Linked DNA regions of Stegostoma tigrinum. The protein of the gene in region 2 binds, or shares a complex with, the protein of the main gene of each other region. Links are inferred from orthologs where the notes say so. Each region holds a gene or a part of one and is shown on either strand. Other genes may lie near its edges.

Evidence for each region. Proteins that work in one complex are often made in the same cells at the same time.
Region 1: the proteins of bcar1 (region 2) and SH2 domain-containing protein 3C-like are in contact, whole or in part, in a crystal structure (PDB 3T6G), measured with the Homo sapiens proteins. The link is inferred for Stegostoma tigrinum from reciprocal best matches to the Homo sapiens genes BCAR1 and SH2D3C. Residues at the interface, in NP_055382.2 of Homo sapiens: Ser739, Gln742, Phe746, Tyr747, Gln750, Asn754, Val779, Ser782, Lys783, Ile786, Leu787, His790, Val793, Phe794, Ile795, Asp797, Thr798, Arg801, Gln802, Ser816, Asn817, Cys820, Leu823, Arg824, Val827, Lys831; in NP_733745.1 of Homo sapiens: Thr543, Val544, Pro545, Val547, Gly616, Val617, Arg618, Glu622, Thr625, Leu626, Pro627, His628, Leu749, Leu752, Leu753, His771, Gly772, Val773, Glu774, Val776, Leu777, Leu780, Glu781, Ala783, Arg784, Ala787, His788.

The regions. Positions count from the first base shown.
Region 1 is NC_081382.1:34,292,790-34,303,561, reverse strand, and holds the start of SH2 domain-containing protein 3C-like, read right to left. Parts: upstream 4,623-10,772; 5' UTR 4,312-4,622; intron 1-4,311. UniProt on the Homo sapiens protein: Acts as an adapter protein that mediates cell signaling pathways involved in cellular functions such as cell adhesion and migration, tissue organization, and the regulation of the immune response.
Region 2 is NC_081369.1:19,943,283-19,953,810, reverse strand, and holds the start of bcar1 (breast cancer anti-estrogen resistance protein 1), read right to left. Parts: upstream 4,167-10,528; 5' UTR 3,998-4,166; coding exon 3,647-3,997; intron 1-3,646. UniProt on the Homo sapiens protein: Docking protein which plays a central coordinating role for tyrosine kinase-based signaling related to cell adhesion. Implicated in induction of cell migration and cell branching. Involved in the BCAR3-mediated inhibition of TGFB signaling.

The DNA of each region.
Region 1 (10,772 bases), on a different chromosome or scaffold from region 2:
TGCAATGCGCAATGGGCATGGGGGCCACCATGGTGACATGTGTCACTGATGATGACATGTACGTGGTGGCAGTATCCTATTCGGAGACTCTTTTCCATTGGATAGTCATTAGGGAGGTGGGAAGGAGGTTGTAAAAGTAGTCCAAAAATCTGTTATAAAAACCTTACTCTTGCTTCCAAGTTGCATCGAAGCTGCTGTAGACAGGGACGGCATCGAGCATAAAGCACAGCCATTGCTTTACTGAGAGGACTAAGCGTCAAAATAGTAGTTGTGAAACCTTCTGGTTCCAGATAATGACCAGAGCAGCTGAAAACTGGATGGTCCCTTACAAAACCAGACTGTCTGCTACTAAACTGAACTGTCCACTACAAAACCAGATGGTCCATTATAAATGGACTGTCCACTCCAAAACTGGACTGTACACTCCAAAACTGGACTGTCTGCTACAAAACCAGACTGACGACTACAAAACTAGGCGGTCCACAACAAAACCCGAGTGTCCACTACAAAGCCAGATGTTTAGTCACCATAGATGAATAAGGGATCTGTAAAAACACTGAAAGCTGTGATGCATGTGTCTGACAGTCCACGAGATGGACAGTCACTGTGTAGGGAAGCTTTCTGTCTGTTTAAGCTTCCTTGCAGGGGAAGAAAATGTAAGCTCTCAGTCATATTGTTTAACTACTATCCACATTCTCAGAATTAATTACCGAGACTACAAATGGACATTGCAGACTAGTAATGACATGGCAACCCTCATAAACTAGCTGAAGACCTTTGGGATATAAAGGTCAAATTATACAGGCCTATAAACTCAGTTCTGATCCCAGGAGGGCAGGTTCCCACTGAGTTTTCTCTCCACACAGTACCAACAAGCCCTGACTTAAATATACAAAAGAAGCCACCCAGAAAGCCAGTGCTGTCACAAGCTGTGATAGTAATGGGCAGGAATCAGTACAAGATTCCAGTTAAAATGTTATAGAGCTATATATCAAAAATATACATTCATTAAAAAAAATGTTGCATTCAACAATAGGGAGACGTGCACATGGGATTTTAAAGAAAAGATTTTCAGAGCACCTTTCAGAACCCCAGGGTGTCCCAAAGCAGTTTTACAGATTATTAAGTGCTTTTGAAATGTGATCACTGTTGCAATGTAAGGAACATGGCAACCAATTTAGAGCAACAAAGATTCCATAATCAGCAATTTGATAACATCTCTGCAGACCTTTTTGTTGTCATTAAGTCCAACTGTAGCATTCAAAATATAAATGTAATTTAGCAACTCAGTGTATTGATGCATTTAGAACAGAGGCAGTATGGGACCCTTCAGTTGTGGACAACTGCCCCTCTACGTGGCATAATGAGCACTCCTTAACAATGACTGGAAAGAGACTTCACAACGTCAAGTCGTTGGGGGCTCTTTGTGGTCATTTTTCTGCAGCAGTGAATTTTGTGCAGCAATGTAAGAATCATTGGTAATACATTTTTGTGACTTTGGTTGAGAAATAAATATTGAATAGGACATTGCCAAGAATTTAAATTATTAAAATAACTTATGTTTTGCAAGTACATTCATATGTTGCTTCCCTGCATCATTTCTTGAGGTAACAGGTCAGTGAATGTGGAAAATCTTTTCCCACACCTTTTTTTAACTTAGATTGTTTAACACAGACCTGTTTACTTTAAACAGTGCATTAGATAAAAGCATGAGGCGGGGGAAATGCAAGTACTTAGGAGCTAACTGTACTTCTTAAACCATAATTAGTTTTCTACAGGCAACAGCAGAGCTATGAGGAAGTGGGTGGCTGTCCTGTTCAAAGGCTGCCACCAGCGATGCTTGGAACGCAAGCCTCAGAGAAGAGTGATCCAGGCACATCTTCAGTCTCAGTTTTCTCCCATACCGTAGAGAGACATGAGAACTCTGTTTGCGATATCAATAGCATAGTCTATTCAACAGGGTTTTCTTACATCATGACCTGTTCGCAGCTTCACAAAGAAAGATTTAATGGAACCATTGAAACGTACTGCACAGAAGGAGCTATTTCTACTTTTTGTATCCATATTGTCCCTTTTAAAAAGCAGTTGTTCTTGGTCCCCCAGTGCCTTGCATTTTGTCCAAAGCTCTGAAAGTTCCTCATCCCCAAGCACTTGCCTAACACCTTTTCTAAACTATTTAGAGAATCAGCACTTCTAAAGTTAGAGTTTCAAGATCCTGACAGTCCCACGGAATTCTCATAACTCAAATCAAATCACTTTGACCCTTGTCTGGAAACTAATTTAAATGATAATGCAATGGACTAATTTCATGCGGTGTGCAAAATGTTTCAACTGTAATCGGAAAATCTCTTGATAACTAACATACCTTCAGTATTGTAAGTAATTCTGGGAATTTTATAATAGGAAGGATATTGTTTACTTAAAGGGTGCAGAGATGAGCAAAGGAAATGAATCCACATGAAAAATTTTTAAGTTATAAGGTAGTGAAGATGTTAAGAATGCAAATTGAAACTTTCAAGATCAGAAATACTGAAAAGTTATAGAGTCATGGCGATGTACAACACGAAGCAGACCCATCGGTCCAAGAGATAATGGGAACTGCAGATGCTGGAGAATTCCAAGATAATAAAATGTGAGGCTGGATGAACACAGCAGGCCAAGCAGCATCTCAGGAGCACAAAAGCTGACGTTTCGGGCCTAGACCCTTCATCGGTCCAACTTGTCTTCACTGGACCAGGTACCCTAAACTGATCTAGTCCCATTTGGCAGCGTTTGGCCCATATGCCTCTAAACCCTTCCTATTTCAGGTACCTATCCAGATCCCTTCTATATGTTATAATTGCACCCACTCCACTACTTCCTCTGACAGTTTGTTCCATACATGAAACACCCTCTGTAGGAAAACAGTTGCCCCTCAACACCCTTTTAAATCTTTCCCTTCTCACCTTAAACCTATGCCTTCTAGTCTCCCCTAGCTTCAGAAAAAGAGCTTGGCTATTCACCCTATCCATGCCCCTCACGATTTTATAAACCTCTACAAGGTCACCCGTCAGCCTCTGACACTCCAGAGAGAAAAGCTCCAGCCTATTCAGCCTCTCCCCATAATTCAAACCATCCAATCCCAGCAACATGTTTGTAAATCTTTACTGTACTCTTTCAAGTTTAACAACATCTTTCATACAGCCGGGGGACCAGAATTGAACACAGTATTCCAAAAGTTGCCTCATCAATATCCAGTACAGCTGCAACATGATGTCCCAACTCCTATACTCAAAGCACTGAATTAAAACATGTGAAACTTAAGAGCAGAAAGCGTAAACTTTTTTTCATACTTCAAAAGACTAATAGACTTGTGGAATGAGTTAGCAAAGAAGGCTTAAGGAAACTGAATATGTTTCTAAAAATGATTAGTGGTATTGAGATCTTTTAAAAGAAGCTTGTAGGATTTACAGCAATCACCTTCTCCTAAATATTCATATATGAATACAGCCCAGTGGTATGAGAGTTCCTTTAATAATGCTAGGTCTTGATTCTGGCATAGTGCTTTTCAATTAAATGACAAAAATGCATGAACCACTGAACTGCTTACAATGAAGTCTAAAGTACATCTACAGGGCATTTAAACTAACCAACTGTCCACTATTTACTAAATAATAGATCAAATATAACACTGAGCATTAAGCCAAATCTTAAAACACTAAGCTCCAGTCAACTCTATCTTCCTACAAATCGTATTTGTGTATATTCAAAATATCCTGAGAATTAAACTGTAACTAGCCCAAGGGACATCTGCAGCTGCAGTGTGTCCATGAGATGAAAGTGACAAAGACGAAAACTGGTTAGCATTTTCATTCCGGTTCCTCCCAGCGTTTCTGCACCCTCTCCCTTCTCTTTTACTAAGGGTAATGACTATTGCCAATGTACAGTATGATAATGTGGGCATCAGAAGCTTGTTGGCCTCTCACCAAGGTGGCTGTTCTTTGGTTTACACGTCACTGTACACAAGGTAGAGTCAGCCACATTGAGAATGAAAGAAGAAAATTAACAAAACAAAAAATTATTAAAATTAATTAAGTTAGGAAACATACGTGACTTCTTAATTAACGTTGTATTTTTCAGATTATTTTTAAGAGTAAGTCCTCTGTACTGATTTGATAAGGTTAGATTGTCTACAAATCCACTCTTTACAGGAGTACGAATTGCATTGGTAGATAATATTGTTCAAATACACTTAGAAAAGGACGTTCTTGCACATTTTCATTAAGGAGGAATATTTAAAATCTAGAGAGTTTGTTGTCAGTTTAAAAATACCTGTTGGTTGTGAGCCTGTGTCCCAGGTATGGAGCAGACCTCTTCGGTGTTGTTACTGAAATAAACCTCGCAGTCTCGTCTCCCCTTTTGGAAACTCTGAAAACGGATGTGACAGTCAGTGGCTGGAGTATCTCAGACAAATATGGACAGTAGGAGCTTTGTATCAGTTCTGAACAAGCTGAGCTTCAGTTGCTTCTCTGAGGGAACTCTGGGCATCGTAAGGGGCGAAGGTCAAGAGATGAGAAGAATGCTGAGGGGAGCCGGATAGAATGGTGCAGTCAGAGGGAGCAAGCCTAGACTAAGCGTAATACGGCACACACACAGTGGAAGCTTGTTGGAGATAAAGGAGGGACCAACATTTTTAAAGCAACTGACCTTGCAGCCAATCAGATATGTATAGTAATTATGCACTGTATGTGTATCTGTGTCTGGAAGGGGGATGGATGGAGGGGGAGGGATTTAGTGGTTACTCATTTTGGTGCTGAATTGACCTCTTTATTCCTAGAAAAGACTTTGCTTGGAAAAGAAGACTTTGAGCAAGTTAAAAGCTCAGGACCACGATGAGGGATCACACTTCAAATGTTAATCTGCTTTTTCTGTTTGAAGCACTGAACTATCTGCTCTGCTTTTTTTCCTGTGTTTTCCATGTTTATGTCAGTTTTCTTTGCATTTGTGTTTTTCACTTTATCTCTGATTCAGAAGGTAATAAGCTGCAGGCTGTCACGTACAGAGTACTGGTGGAGAACTGACAATAGTGATTGACTGTTGTCTACTGCAAACCCAAACGCAAATAAATTAAAACTGCAAACTCTGGAACTCTGACAAAACAAAACAAAAATGTGAGAAATGCAGGGTCATTGGTGAAGGGAATATTACTTTGTCAGTGAAAACTCAGATAAGCGAATATTTTTGTAGCTCGTTTTTTTTCACAATCACGATTTTCTTGAAGGTTAGAAAGGGTTTCTAACATCTGTTCTTTTTTAGTAACCTGGTTTAGTAGGCCTGGGCTCCCCAGGTTGCTATGACTACGTGACCTAAATATCCAGAGCTGAAAGCTTCTACAAACAAGCTCAAGCAATGCCAGAAATGTGAAAGTCACATTTTGAATAAGCAAATTTCTAATTATCTTTCAACATGTTGTCCCAGGAATCTTGAATTGGACTGCCTTAAGTTTCTTTATCATTTATCTTTTGTCCTCCAACAGTCCTCCTGATGATGATGATTCCTGCTACAGCACGGTTACATGGACACAGAATGCTTTTCAATAAATCATGCAGGCAGCTATTCTTTGTGATTGAGTTTGGACAGTGGGTTATTTGGCCATGAAGACTGACACAGCTCAGCCTGCTACTGTCCTTGGATAGACCTTGTAGCAAGATTTGTTGCTAATTATGAAAATGATGTTGATAAAAATTAAAATGGAATGGAGCAAGGTCTGGCAGTATCTGTGGAGACAGAATGAAGGTTAGAATCATACAATCGCTACAGTCAGGAAAGAAACCATTTGGCCCATAGATTACTGCTTGTAGCCCAAAGACTCATTGTTGGAACAGTGCAACTTAATTTAATTTAAATATTTATTTCAAGGCATTTTTCCTTCCACGATTTCACATTCTTTATACTTGGGTGAAATCCCTCAAGAATTAGTGTTTAGTCACACATTTTATTGCTGACTCACTCACTGCTTCCAGTTGCAGCTAGTACAAAGTGCACACCACACTGCACATTAGGATACAAGTAGTTCCCACAATCTAGATATTGTTGTTCCAAAAAAATCTGGATTTTTCTTTGCTGATGTTATCTCTTAGCCACCCAGTTAATGACAAGAGGTCTGACGTTCTTTGAGGGCTTTACCGATGTCCTGCCATAACCCCTACGAGCCACCCACAGAAACTCCATGAGAGTGGGGGCAATCTGGTTGTGATAGGCCTCTGTTGTTTCTAAGAGCACCCATGTAAGCGTCTAAGGGGCACAGCCTCTGGCTGTCAAGACAAATAGTGGCCAATATGTGGATTTCTTAACTTTGTGGTTCTTAGCTATGAAGCTAGATGTGGGCTGAAGAAATGATACAGCAGTGTCATTAAGTCAATGGACACACGGTGACCATAAGGAGTTATGTCAGCCTTGCCACTGAGATCCATGGCTGAGTCAGGCTGCTAATAATTAATAATGAAGTTTTGTTTGTTACCTGGATTAGCTTCCTTTCTCAGGTAGCAAAGGACAATGGGTACAGTGAGAGGTTCCTGAGCACCCAATCCCAAGTGGCAAATAGGTAAGTTTCCATTGATGTGTGGGCATCAAAGATAGACCCGTAGTGGTCTGTTTACCCTAGAGTTGTCCACCTACTGACCCCACACTAAAGTCACAAAAGGTTGATACAAGGAATGTCAAGGTCATGGCAACTGTTCTGTTGCTATCGGTGAACCTTTGGTTCTGTATCCATGTGACTAACGTGCATGTGTACTACTAACAGTGAGCATCAGCAGCATTCCCAAAATCCAGAGAATCTAATCCTTCAATTGCCTGACACTCACATATGCACTACCTCAAATAGTGATCATGGATTGTGATCCAAAGAAGAAACAGCTGACTGATTTCATGCCTGCTCCATCAGGGGCACTGAGAGTTTTTCTAACATCTTGACTGATCAATTAATTCAGCACAAACAGCAAATCAAACTTGGAACTGTCCTTTCTTTCAAACAGTTCAATCGTTCACTCAATAAAACCCCCTGACCGATCAGGTAAATAATTACCCTGTATCTAAAGCACTACTTCATGAGCTGAGCCGAGCAATTCAAATCAGAATATTTCTTCTCTTTATTAATTGATATTCTTTCTCGAGATGATTAGCTCCAAGTAAGTGTAACCTCAACATTGCACATCTGTGAAGGAAATATCCAACTGAACATTTCAGTCTCCATGCTCTGCAAATGCTGATTTATATGACAGCTTGCTGAATAAAATGTGGCAATTTGCATTTACCTAGGGGTCCACATTGATAATTAAACCCTGCTGCTACCCATTAATTGCACCGAAGAGTCTCAGGTGATTACTGGTTGAAATTTTAAGTTCCTGATTTTATGTTTATTTTCAATTCCATCCTTTAATGTAAAATCTATCCCTTCTTTCTCTGCAGGGCTACAATTGTGCAGATACTAGTTCCCGCTTGTATTATTCATGCAACTGGACTCTGCTTATCCGTGATTTGGAAAACGAACACAAGCAAGATATTCAGCCTGGGCACCTCAGCCAAACTTTACTGTGCCCTTCTTCAACATACAAAGACAGCACAGGGTTTTGGGGCTTTGATAGTTTTGGAAATGGAGGTGGATGGAACCCAAGAATACCAGAACTAGCTGGAGTACTGGTTTCCTGTTCCCAGTGTCAGTTTATTTTGGCTGGAGCAGATTCAGAGCTGCAAGAGCTTTTCTATCTCATGCCACAGGCTGTCATTTAGGCTCATTTTAAAAAATTTTTCTCATGGGATGGTTGTCACTGGCTGTCCAGCATTTGAGAAGATGATGATGAGCTGCCTTCTTAAACAGCTACAGTCCATGTGCTGGGTGTTGACCCACAATGCCCTTAGGGAAGGAATTCCAGGATTTTGGCCCAGCAACACTGAAGGAATGGGAATTTGTTTCCAAGCCAGGATGGTGAGTGGCTTCCAGGGGAAGTTGCAATGTTCCACTGTATCTTCTGCCCAAATCATTTGAGGAGGTAGTGGTCCTGGGTCAGGAAGATGCTAACTCAGGAGCCTTGGTGAATTTCTGGAGTGAGCCTTGTGGACAATAAACACTTCTGCTACTGAGCATTGAGGGTGGAGGGTGTGAATCTTTGTGGCCAATCAAGTGGGCTGATGCTTTGTCCTGAATGTCATGGTTCTTGTAATTTGTTGGAGCTGTACTCATCCCAGCAAATTGAGAGTATTCCACTGTACTCATGACTGGTGCCTTGTGGATGGTGGATTGGCATTGGGAGGTCAGGAGATGAGTTACTCCTACTTTCTGACCTGTTCTTGTAGCCACTGTATTTAGATGGCTAGCCTACTTGCAGTTTAGTTTTTGGTCAATGGTAATGCTCAGGATGTTGATAGTGGAGCATTCAGTGGTGATAATGCCATGAACAACAAGGAGCAATGGTTAGAGTTAGCAAGATTGCAGCTGCTAGAGTCAAAGATAACACAGTGTGGAGCTGGAGGAACACGGCAGGCCAGGCGGCATCAGAGGAGCAGAAAAATATATGTTTCGGATCGGGACCTGTCCATCTTCTGTCCCACCTAACCACTCCTCCCATCTCACTGACAAATCCCCACCATTCCCTACTTGCATTCACCTATCACCATTCCACCTACCTTCCACAGCCCCACGCCTCCTCTCTCTTTATTTCTGAGCGCCCTTCCCCTTCTCCATTTCTGAAAAAACTGTCCTGACCCAAAATGTCAAATTTCCTGCTCCTCTGATGCTGCCTGGCCTGCTGTGTGTTCCTCCAGCTCCACACTGTGTTATCTAAGGAGCAATGGTTAATTGTCTCTTGTTGGAGATGGTCATTGCCTGACACTTATGGGGCGTGAATGTCACCTACCAATTGTCGGCCCAAACCTGGATATTATCTAGGTCCTGCTGCATTCGGGCATGGACTGTTTCAGTATCTGAGCAGTCATGAGAGGTGCTGAACATTGTGCAATTATTGGCAAACATTCCCACTTCTGACCTTATGATGGAGGTAAGGTCATTGATGAAGCAGCTGAAGATGGTTGGGTCTAAGACACTGACCTAAGGAACTCCTGCAGAGATGTCCTGGAGTTAAGATGACCGACTTCCAACAATCACAACCATCTTCTTATGTGCCAGGTATGGCGCAGATCGGATTTAAAAGCTGAAGATAAGTCAGGAAGACTGAATATGATTTTACTGTTGTCCATGTGATGGAGAGGAGTGGATCTCCTGTGAGTAGGCCTCCAACGCAGGCCCAGATACCAATACTCCCTTCTTACCTGGGCAGGACTACAACTATAGGCTGCTCTATAGATGCTGGCTTGGCCGCTTGCTCTACCTTTTAATTATATTTTTAAAAGGGTTAAGAGAGGTGCTTTTCGCTGATGTTTTCTCTTGGTTACTAATGCATTCCTGCAGTTGTTCCCTCCTTTGAAGTTGGCAGATCTCTGGCTGTCACACTTTGAGAGCACACTCCTCTAAATCTGATAGAGAAACTGCCTCCAAGCCAATTAAGAAAGCTATTGGATGGAAAGCAGACGGTTTCCCTCTCCCCTCAGGCGAGTTCAATCTGATGGGTGCATTCTGACCGTGCTGAGAACTTTGCTGATGGTTTTCACTCAGCAAAGGCTGGGATTGGCCAGATCTTTCCAGTCTGACACATTCCAGTGCTGCCACTCACAGCTGAATTGCCTGTTGACTGTCACAGCCTTGGCTTACACTTGAAGAATTTTGTTGAAGACTGCTAGTGCCTGTGAAACTGGCATCTGAGCTGAGGCAGACAGAGAATTGAGATTGGAAAGGCCTTGGAAAAATGTGGGTGGTGGCGAAGGAAGGGCAGTGTAAAATAAGAAAGCCTGGCCTTTATGTCACACTTTGCACAGCAAATTAAATACTGGTAACATATAGTCACTGCTGTATTGTAAGAAATGTGACAACCAGCTTGCAATCAGCAAGCTCGAGTAGACAGATGAGGAGCTTCAATATCTCGCCCACACAATGGCACTCCCTTAGTACTGTACAAAAACATCTGCTTTGATTATTTTTGTGCTGACACTCTCAGCTGAGACTCAAGCCCACAGCCTTTAGACTCAGTAGCCAGTTGTTACCAACTGAACCACAGCTTAAAGATGATGAGGGTCAAAGGGAAGCAAGGTGACCAGTGTGGGTGTGTTTTCAAAGTTTTAACATTATTCCTCCTCTCCCTCCTGTTCTGGCATTGCAACCTTGGGTCACTTGGATGACCATTTTCCTGTAAAGCTGGAACAATGCATAGCACTTTGAGACAGCAAGGGATTGGGAGAAAAATATTAGTTTGGACTGGAAATTCTAAGCAGGCAGAAAACAGAAAAACTTAAATGGCTGCTCTGAGTTTTAAGCAGGTGGAGTTGGAAAGATGCAAGACAAAGGATATTGGTTGGCACCTGTGGCTGTTGTTGCTGAGTTTTACCCCTCAAAATGCTTTCACCCTCTCCACAGATTGATATAAATCGCTGACACACAGTTCAGGACTTCCCTGTGCTCAGTGTCAGTTGTCAGTGCCACATTTGCAGGGATGATGGCCCTGACGAAGGGCTTTGGCCCAAATCGTCGACTTTCCTGCCTCTCGGAAGCTGTCTGACCTGCTGTGCTTTTCCAGCTCCACATTTATTGACTCTAGCTTCCAATATCTACAGTCCTTACTGTCCCCATCAGAAGATGTTCTTGGAGGAGATAGTGAAATGTCAGAACAATAATGGAAAGGACA
Region 2 (10,528 bases):
TCTTGGAAGTGCACGGTCAAATTAGAACAAGTCAGCATAGATTTAGTAAGAGGAGGTCGTGCCTGACAAACCTGTTAGAATTCTTTGAAGAAGTAACAAGTATGTTAGACCAGGGAAACCCAGTAGATATTATCTATCTCGACTTCCGAAAGGCCTTTGATACGGTGCCTCACGGGAGGCTGCTGAGCAAGGTGAGGGGCCATGGTGTTCGAAGTGAGCTACTGGCTTGGATTGAGGATTGGCTGTCTGACAGAAGGCAGAGAGTTGGGATAAAAGGCTCTTTTTTGGAATGACAACTGGTGATGAGTGCTGTCCCACAGGGTTCAGTGTTGGGGCCGCAGCTGTTCACCTTATATATTAATGATCTGGATGAAGGGACTGGGGGCATTCTGGCGATGTTTGCCGATGATACAAAGATAGGTGGACAGGCAGGTAGTACTGAGGAGGTGGGGAAGCTGCAGAAAGATTTAGACAGTTTAGGAGAGTAGTCCAGGAAATGGCTGATGAAATTCAATGTGAGGAGATGTGAGGTTTTGCACTTTGGAAAAAAGAATACAGGCATGGACTATTTTCTAAATGGTGAGAAAATTCGTAAAGCAGAAGTACAAAGGGCTCTGGGAGCGTTGGTCCAGGATTTTCTAAAGGTTAACTTGCAGGTAGAGTCCATAATTAAGAAAGTGAATGTAATGTTGTCGTTTATCTCAAGAGGGTTGGAATATAAAAGCAATGATGTGCTTCTGAGGCTTTATAAAGCTCTAGTTCGGCCCCATTTAGAATGCTGAGTCTAATTTTGGGCCCCACACCTCAGGAAGGACATATTAGCCCTGGAGCATGTCCAGCAGAGATTCACATGAATGATCCCTGGAATGGTAGGTTTAACATATGATGAACGGCTAAGGATCCTGGGATTGTACTCAGAGTTTAGAAGGTTGAGGGGAGATCTGATAGAAACTTACAAGATAATGTATGGTTTAGAAGGGGTGGACACCAGGAAGTTGTTTCCATTAGGCGGGGAGGCTAGGACCCGTGGGCACAGCCTTAAAATTAGAGGGGGTAAATTTAAAACTGAAATTTGATGACATTTCTTCAGTCAGAGAGTGGTGGGCTTGTGGAATTCATTGCCACGGAGTGCAGTGGAGGCTGGGACGTTAGAAGCCTTCAAGGCAGAGATCGACAGATTCTTGATCTCAGAAGGAATCAAAGGCTACGGGGAAAGTGCAGGGAAGTTGAGTTGAAATGCCCATCAGTCATGATTTAAATGGTGGAGTGGACTTGATGGGCTGAATGGCCTTACTTCCACTCCTACGTCTTACGGTCATCTCAGGCTGGTCTAGCATTTATTTCCAATCCCTAACAGCCTTGCTAGGGCCATTTCAGAGGACAGCTAAGACTAACATACTGCTGTGGCTCTGCAGTCACATCTAGTCCAGACCAGGTAGGGGGCAATAAATTCCCTTCTCCAAAGGACATGAGTAAACTAGATGGGTTTTTGCAACATTGGCTTCATGGTCATCATTAGGCTAGCTTTTCAATTTCAGGATTTTTTTTAAAAATTGAATTCGAATTTTACTATCTGCCATGGTGGCATTCAAATCCATGCCCTCTGAACTTCAACGTGCAGTTCAGTAACATTACCAATACACACAACCTTCCCAGTAAATAAAGTTTATGAAGCAGTTTATCTAATACTGGAACAGACAGACAGACTATCTGAACCGAATAATTCCCATTCAAACTGCTGTTCTTGTACAAACTAAAGCCTTACATGATTATTTACAACTGTGTTTTATTCAATTTCCCCCAAAAGTATTTGTTTCTGTTGATGATCTTTGTTTATTTTTTCATAAAAAGAGAGACTTGGCAAAATTCTACAGAGTTCCAATGGTGGTCCCTGTCACCGATCTATCCTCTCAGAGTCGGTGAAGCTACTCACATTTGGTACAATTTGCCAGCACTGCATTTATATTCACTCAAGCAAACGGTATAGTTTTCACAGCACAGATGCTGAGTCATTACTCACAGACAACAAACACGGTCAGCAAAAAAAAACGTTTTAACTTAAATCAGCTCTCCGTTTATTGCATTTCATTTGATTTCAGTTCCAGTGAGGTGCACTGATCTAAAAACCAACAAGTGAAATAGAAGGAATCAGATCCTGTTCCTTTGCTACTATATAATTACTCTAAGCACCCCACCTAGGTACTGCGATAACCCTGTTATTTGATACATATTGGCAGTGCACGCCGATCATGCTGTTCCACATTAAAGTCAGTTCAGCTAAGACATTAGTAAAAATGTCTGATTTGGCCCTTGTACCAACACAGCCTGAAAACAGTAAAGTGAAACCATCCAAATGGTCATTTTGAACTTTTATTACAGTAATTATAATTTGGGCTCATATCATATGCTGCATTTCTGTTGTCACACGCACATTACAAGCTTTGTACCCAGGTTTTAGTCTATTAAGCAACAGGAAAGTAATTTTGTACCATGCCAAGACGAGTTTCTTTTGACTTGTGCAGCTATATTTTAAGCTGTTGAACTATAGGTAACCGTCTGCTAGCAGAGACTGACAGGGGCAGCAGGCACATGGAACAGTACAACCTGAAAGTGCCCCTTCAAGTCACTTACTATCCAGATCTCAGAAGTAACTCCCTGTTTCTTCTTCTTTGCCCAATAAAACAAGCTGAAATTCTCCAGCTAACAGTATCACGAGTCCATTTTACCGCAGGACTACAGTAATTCTCAAAAGGCAACTTATCACCACCTTCTCAACGGCAACAAGACCCCAAAATACATTGTTCATAACCAGGGTTCCAGTAGCTGACCTTCAGGCCAGTGAATGCGGCCGATGTGTACACAGCCTTGACGGAATTGAATCTCTGTAAGGCTTATTCCATGTTCCCAGATTTGCTTATTTTCTCTCGCTCTGTTATTGTGTTCGAAGAAAACAGCCCGAAGACAGAGAGGGGCAGATGGATACTGGGAACATATCAACATAGAAATGATGAACTATGTTCGAGTGAAAAGTTTCTGGTGAAATTTGTTCTCCTACTTTTGGGGGTCGGAGGGTGGCGTTGATAGTCAAAGAGTAGGATCAGGTGGTAATACTCAGCTATGAAGTTTCACACCCACACTCGGAGCATCAATAAACAATTTGTAATTCTTGCGTAGTGCATTTGCGAACAAACGAACAAGATTTAACCAATTCCTCCAATTCAGAAAAAAACCCGGTTTGCCAGTAAACGCTGCATTTAACAACCTGAAAGACAGTATTTACCACACAGACGAATCTGAATCTGGATTCTCTTACAGTTGCAAATACTCTGCAGGATAAAGTGCACACGAAAATAAATGCCCACTCTCCTCTATCATAAAAAGGAGCCTCGTAAGTACTGGTCCGGGGCTTGGGACCGGTCTCGCAGGAGAGGGAACGGTCGTGCACAGAGTTCCAGCTAGCAGCCTGGGGCCCCGGCCTCCACACTCCCCATTCAAACAGAACCAGCTCCAACTAACATCGCGGCACCATCACCCACCCGAGCTTTGCAAACAGCGGCAGCCGATTCGGGGGGAGCCACTGGCCAGCGAGGCTGCACTTCACTGCAGGCACGGGAAGGGGACTTTGTGAACGTGAAGAGATACTCACAGGCACAGACATCTCCGGCTCTTCCTCCGCACCGGGCGATCTGAAAGGGATGTCGTGCTGATCAGTTTCCTCCCAGCGTTGGGAAGGCGGCTGGGAATAACTGCCTGATTTTTCGGGAAGGCGATCAGGTGGATCCCATCGTCTCCCTCTGCCACCCAGGACTGTCAGCACCCTGAAGTCGCAGGTTCCGTTTGCTTGCAGCTCTGTAATCTTCAGTTCAGTGACAGCCTCTGGCAGGGAACTGCGCTCCTGGTGAATTTCCACTCGCTTTCCCACCCCCCAACCCAGCCTCCTGTCAGTCTGTGTGTGTGTCTCTCTCTGGCTCTTCCCCAGCCCTGGGCTCCTACACATTAACTTGCACACTGTCTCGTACTGAATCCTTGTTCTAACGCCCAGACCCACCACCCCACTACTACTTCTTCTTCTTCTTCTTCTTCTTCTTTTCTTCTCTTCTTTTCTTTCTTTCTCTCTCTCCTCCTCTTTCTCTTCCTCCCCTCAATCGCCTGCAATGACGAAATCGGCAATTTCACCTTAAAGGCACCGCCAACCGTGCAGAGCGCAGGCGCTGGGAAACCGACTCAATCCAGTGGGTAAAGAGTTTCCATTAAAGGGACCATACCCCTACTTTCTCCAGGAATGGCCTGCCTCGCACTTTTCTGCTAAAAGGAACAGTGACAGCAGCTGGGGCTCTGTCAGTTTGGTTCGATCAGCTGTTTGCAAAAGCCCGCACACAAAACAGAGAGCCTCCGTTCACTGGAGTGCACCTCCCCATGAGCTCAGTGCAAACAGTTACACGTCGGCAATAGAGAGTCGCTGAGCCTGTCTACACAGGGGGTTATTGCCGGAGCTTAATCTCCTTCACTACTCTTTGACATGAAGCAGCGCAGGACAGAGCAGTGCGGAGCTACACAGCGTCCCTGTGCAGCCTGAACCACCGTGTTCACAGGAGCGCCATGGTTTTTGAGGTTATCTTGAAAGAAACTCATAACCAAGTGCTGCATCTTTACGTTCTATTAATAACATGGGATTAGCAGTGTCCTGGAATTCGACACAGTTTCCGGGCTCAAACATTTCATTGCCTTGTCTGCTATAGAGCTGATTCTCTCAATTTCAGTTTGTCATTGAAACTGAGTGTGGTTCTATCCTCGTTTTACTTTCTCCCACTCTCTGCACGACCACCAAAGGTTCATAGCCAATGATTTATGCATTTTTTAAAGATATTTACCTCAAAGTTATAAACGCCTATGAATTTCAGTAGGTAATGGGATGGAAATAAAGACAGAAAATAGAAAGTGTTATTCCAGGTTGATTAATTGCTGTTTTACAGATATTACTTTTTGTTCATTAACCGAATTCAGAAATTTTGATAGCACGTGACTTAAACAGAAACTTGCACGTATTAGTAAACACGTATTTGCTGTCCTGTGTACATTCGGTGGTGGAGGAAAGATTCTGTAGGAGGAGCCTTGGTGAGTTACTGCTGAATGGTACACACTGTTATCGTTGTGCAGCGAAGGCGAAGGGAGTGAATGTTGTAAACTGGTGAATGGGGTGTCAATGAAGCAGACTGCTTTGGCCTGGATGGTGTGAAGCACGCTCTTGATATGAGTCTTGTGAATCGTGCATTGATGGTGAGTAACTTACTGAAGAAAATATAGTATCTAAACTGCTCCTGTAGTCACAGTATTTAATCTGGCAGTGCAGATCAATTTCTGGTCAATGATAACCCCAAGGATGTTGATTCAACAATGATAATACCACTGAATATCAAGGAGCAAGATTCTCTCTTCATGGAAATGCTCATGGCCTTGCACTTAGTTGGTACAAAATTTCCTTGCCATATATTAGTCCAATTCAGTATGCTGTCCAAATCTTGAGATACATGGACACAGGCTGCTTCAATATCTGAGGAGTTGCAAATGGTCGTGAACATTGTGCAATCACCAGTGAACAACCCAATTGCTAACATAATGATGGAGGGCAAGGTCATTGATGAAGCAGCTAAAAATGGTTGGGTCTAGGACACCACTCTGAGGAACTCCTTCAGATTCTTTCTAGGGCTGAAATGCTCATTTGGACGTCCAGTGCAGACCTGATTGGCCAAATAACTTTGTGTGTGCGTGTGTGTGTGTGTGTGTGTGTGTTCACTCCTATCTGTTTCTCATTCCTGGATGTCTTCTTGCTTAATTATTTTTAACTTCCTGTATTTGGCTCAGCTTCGCTGTTGGTACATCCCACAAGTCTTTTTGACTGTCCACTTCTTGCCTGCTAAAGTTCCTGTTTTCTCACCAGTTCACCCAATTCCCTATCGGTTTCTGACTCTTCTACTTATTTTCCTGTTTGCTAGCTAGTGTCTTTTGCTGCTCTTCAAGCTCTTGACAACACACAAAGTACTTCGAAAGTATAGTCATTGTTGCAATACAGGAAATACTGAAGCCAATTCTCAGATGGAACCACAATCAACAATAAAATAAATAAGTTTGAGAAGGACCACATTAATTAGTCCAATACACAAAAGTTGTCAACACTTTATTAAACTGCATGTTATATGGGAAATGCCATATAACATTGACAGGAACAAACAACTATGAATCTGCAGTTCTCTAACGCCTCCAATCTATTTTCCTTGCCGCTTGTCTAGGTTTCTTTAGAGGCTAATCAATAAAGATTGATTGAGCAAAAATATGAAGATTCAATAACTCAAATATTGTTGTGTCTACTCAGATGGTAGAAGACAAAATAGATAGACTGCAGTCCTCACCATCAAATGATTCCTTTGTTCCTTAAAGAGATGGGAAACAGGGACAGATAAGAGGGAAATGGGAATAAATGATTAGATCCGTGTAAGCTTAAGGATAAGAAGCTTATACAGATAAGGATCAAAACAAACCATTAAAGACACTTGGTCTAACTCTTCCTGGCACATCTATGTGATAAATATTCATTCTGAGATCGCTTGGCATCAATATTACTTGTAAATTAATATATTTGACTCTACCTTGGAGGAGCTTAGGTGACCTCATTCTGCACAACAGTGTTTTGATCATATAGCCTATAATTACATTTGCACCCAAATATCAATTCATTCTAGCTGCTGTACTCACAGGTAATAAACCACATCATTGGAATCAATGAGAATATGGAATGAAATGGTACTGCAATTTTCTGGTTTTACTGCAACAAAAGGTTTCCTGTATTTAAGGCACTTCCTGGCCAGTGATGTGGTCTTCTGAACTCAATATTTTTGCCTTTCTCCTCTCATTTAGTCACATGGCTGGGATGATGGTGGCACAGTAGCTCAGTAGTTAGTACTGCTGCTTCACAGCACAAGGGACGCAGGATTGATTCCAACATCGGGCAACTGTCTGTGTGGAGTTTACACGTTCACAATGTCTGTGTGGTTTTCCTCCAGGTGCTCCAGTTTCCTCCCATAGTCCAAAGATATTCAAGCTAGGTGGATTGGCCGTGCTAAATTGCCCCGTGATGTGCAAGCCAAGTGGGTTAGACATGGGAAATGCAGGTTTATCGGGATTGGGTAGGGGTAGTGGATATGGGTGGGGGGCTTTTCGGAGGGTTGGTGTGGACTCGATGGGCCAAATAGCCTGCTTCCACACTGTAGGGATTCTATGATGGCTTTGTAGTGTACCTACCTGTGACAAACCTTGCAAATTTTTACACTTACTGCATGCAGTGAAATTTGTTTCTCAGGTATTGCAGTTGTCCATAAAACATGAAATAAGAAATTAGTTGTGCTGTGCCTCCATTGTCTTTAAAGGGCGGACATTTGTTAATGATGTGGCTCCATTTGTGATAGATCCCTTAATCACTAACAACAAGGTTAAAAATCTAACCATTGACACTCATAACAATTACAAGAGGAACATATGAAAAGCTTGCACACAAGTTTTAATGATTGAAACATGTTGCAAAGTGCTGAAGCACTTCTAGAGTCTTTAGTCCATCATTAGAAGCTTGTGTGTTCAAATCTTGAAACACAATCTGCTCCATTACTTTATTAAGTGTATCAAACATTCCAAGTCTAATTCTCCTCACCCTGATTTCACAGAACTCTATTCAAGTATTAAGCTAGGACATGACATAGTGTACAGTGACTTTCCGTGCCAAGCACCTCAAGCCTCGCTGTGACATTGTAACTGTTCTGAAACAGTTTGGAAACAAACTTCAACAATGGCCAATAAATAAGCAAAGATCATGCAGCCCCATGTGAAACTGTGATTGCCCATCCACAGTCCATTGGAAGAATGCTTGCATTACACTGAATAGGTCCTTATAAGGCTTTATATAATAATGTAATATACGAGATATGCCAGATACTTCAGTAAAGACGAAGTTCCCATAGCCTTACTAGCCCATAGGGCTGCTGTCTCGCTAAACGAACATAACTGGCGGTGGTTTAACCTCAGGATCAGTCAAGAGAAGAGGTAGAGACAAAGAGTGCTCCATGAAAACTTCAGTCAGTGCAGGGATTGAACCCACACTGTTGGATTTTCCAGGCATTAACTAAAAAAAAAGCTAATAGCTAGCATAACAAGGAATGATTATAAGGTAATAAAGCAGTTAGCTGGTATAAAAACTGCATGAGGGTCTTGGCATTTGTGTCAGAGCGAAGCATGTACTTGATGGGCATTTAATGTTGAACAATGATGATCTTTAGTGATTACTTTCTTTATTCCAATCATATTACTGCAAATATGGAGAAAAAAAGGCTTGTCCCTTTCTGAAGAAGGGTCTCGACCCGAAATGTCAACTATCCTGCTCCTCTGATGCTGCCTGGCCTGCTGTGTTCCTCCAGCTCCACACTGTGTTATCTCTTGCTTCAAAATAGTGCCATGGAATATCTTACATCCACCTAAGAGGGCAAGTGGGATCTTAGGGTCTAACATCCTCATCTAAATAATGGCATCGCTAACACAATAGCACTGCTTCAGAAAAGAGCCAATGCAACAGCCTAGATTTTCCTGTGGGCCCTGAAAACAACAACATACTGACTGAGATGAGAGTTCTGTCATTGTTAAACAAACCATTTCATGACAAATACTTACCCTTTGACTATACAGGCTATGGTTTAAAGTTGATAATTATGAAAGTTTCTTACTTATTAATTTATTGCATTGCTATACAGAGGACACATTATAAAGACCAGCAGCACATGGTGTACATCCTACTTATTGGTCTAGGCTACAAATGATTAGTAACAAAAGCATTGGCAGTGTTCCTACCTCTAAGGCAGGCAACGTGGGTTCAAGTCCCACCTGTTCTAGGGGTGTGTCATAACATCCCTGAATAGGTTGATTCGAGAATATCTAAAAGTGATCTTTGGCCTGCAAATCTGATGTAATTCATTTTCCAGAAATATTCTGCTAATACACGAGAAAAGGAATTGTGTGATCTATTGTTATGGCTTCTCCATCTCAGACAGACCCTTGGGATTGAGGATGACTTGCTTCCACACTGTTTTAATGGATTCAGGGATAGCTGATGAACCCAGTGTGCTAGCTGCAACTTCAGGAGGTGCTGGTAGGATCAAGAGATGAGATGGGTGAGTATGGGTTATGTGCTCCCTTCAGTCTGTTGTATTACCTTTGCATCATTACTGATGACATTTCTCATTGTTTGCTACTACCCAGCATTGAATCTCCTCTATTTTGGTCAATTACCAGGTGGGGAATCCCATGAATCAGCAAGGATGTTTGACTTCTTCAGCGATGCCCTAAAATATTACTGTTGACCTCCTGCGAGCCTCCTGCAATGGCTGAGCTCTGTATGGCGTAGTTGTTTTGGGGCGTGGTGTCAGACATACCAGTGACATGTCCCATCCAATGGAGCTGGTTCTGATTGATTCGCACCTCAATGCCAGACATGTTGGTTTGAGCAGGATGCTGTTGTTGGATGACCTTTCTTGCCTCTAGATTTGGAGGATCTTATGAGGGCCCTCCTGCTGGCATTTACCCAGTGTCACATCTGTGCGGCACTGTCTCTCCTAACTGATTAATGCTGCCATCTGAGGGATCAATCAAGAGAACCTTCATGGTGCCTCCTCGAAGACAATGATATGTTTCCTTGGTTATAGAGCTGGCAACAGTAACTCCACATTCCAGCAGGTCTCCCAGGATTTCGTTGAGGTTACATGTGTCATGGAAGCCAGGAATAGCTTTAATTACCGAAGGAGTGCCTTGAAGTTTACTTGCCTAAGTCATGGACTGTTTTAAAATGAATTTGTGCCTCATTTACCCCTAGGGGACAGTTTCATTTCTCTCCCAACAGAATTCTAGTAGCAGCACAACACCATGTTTTACCAGCATTAAGCCTGGGTTTGCAGTTCCTTTGAGGACCAGCATGTTTTTCATATGATCAGTTATGAGCGAACTGAATAGTCGGAGGATGAACTTCTTCCTGGTTCATTCTGATGTGGCAAAATGCAAGTCAGAAAGTACCACAACACATTGCGAACGAGAATCCCTGAACCCATTTGTTGAAGCTGATGTTTCCACCATTCTGCTCCCAGTTGTTCATGGTGAAAATGGAGAAGAAATTGCTTCCTGCAGCAGAAGAGGCATGAGGCGTTTGGTTCTTAGTCTCATTATCCCACTGTCAGCCACCACATAATTTTATTTTTATTTGTTCATACAATGTGAGTGTCACCAGCTAGGACAGTATTTATAGTAGTCCTTGATAAGGTGGTAGTGAACTGTCCTTTTGAGCCACGGCAATCCAATGTTCGATGAAAATAGAATACTGCTGATGCTGGAAATCTGGATTGAGAACAGCAAATGTGGAAGAAACTGTTCTGGCCAGTTTAGAGGGTGGTTGAGAGATAACCGCTGCACTGTGGACCTGAAGTCACATGCAGATCAGACCAGG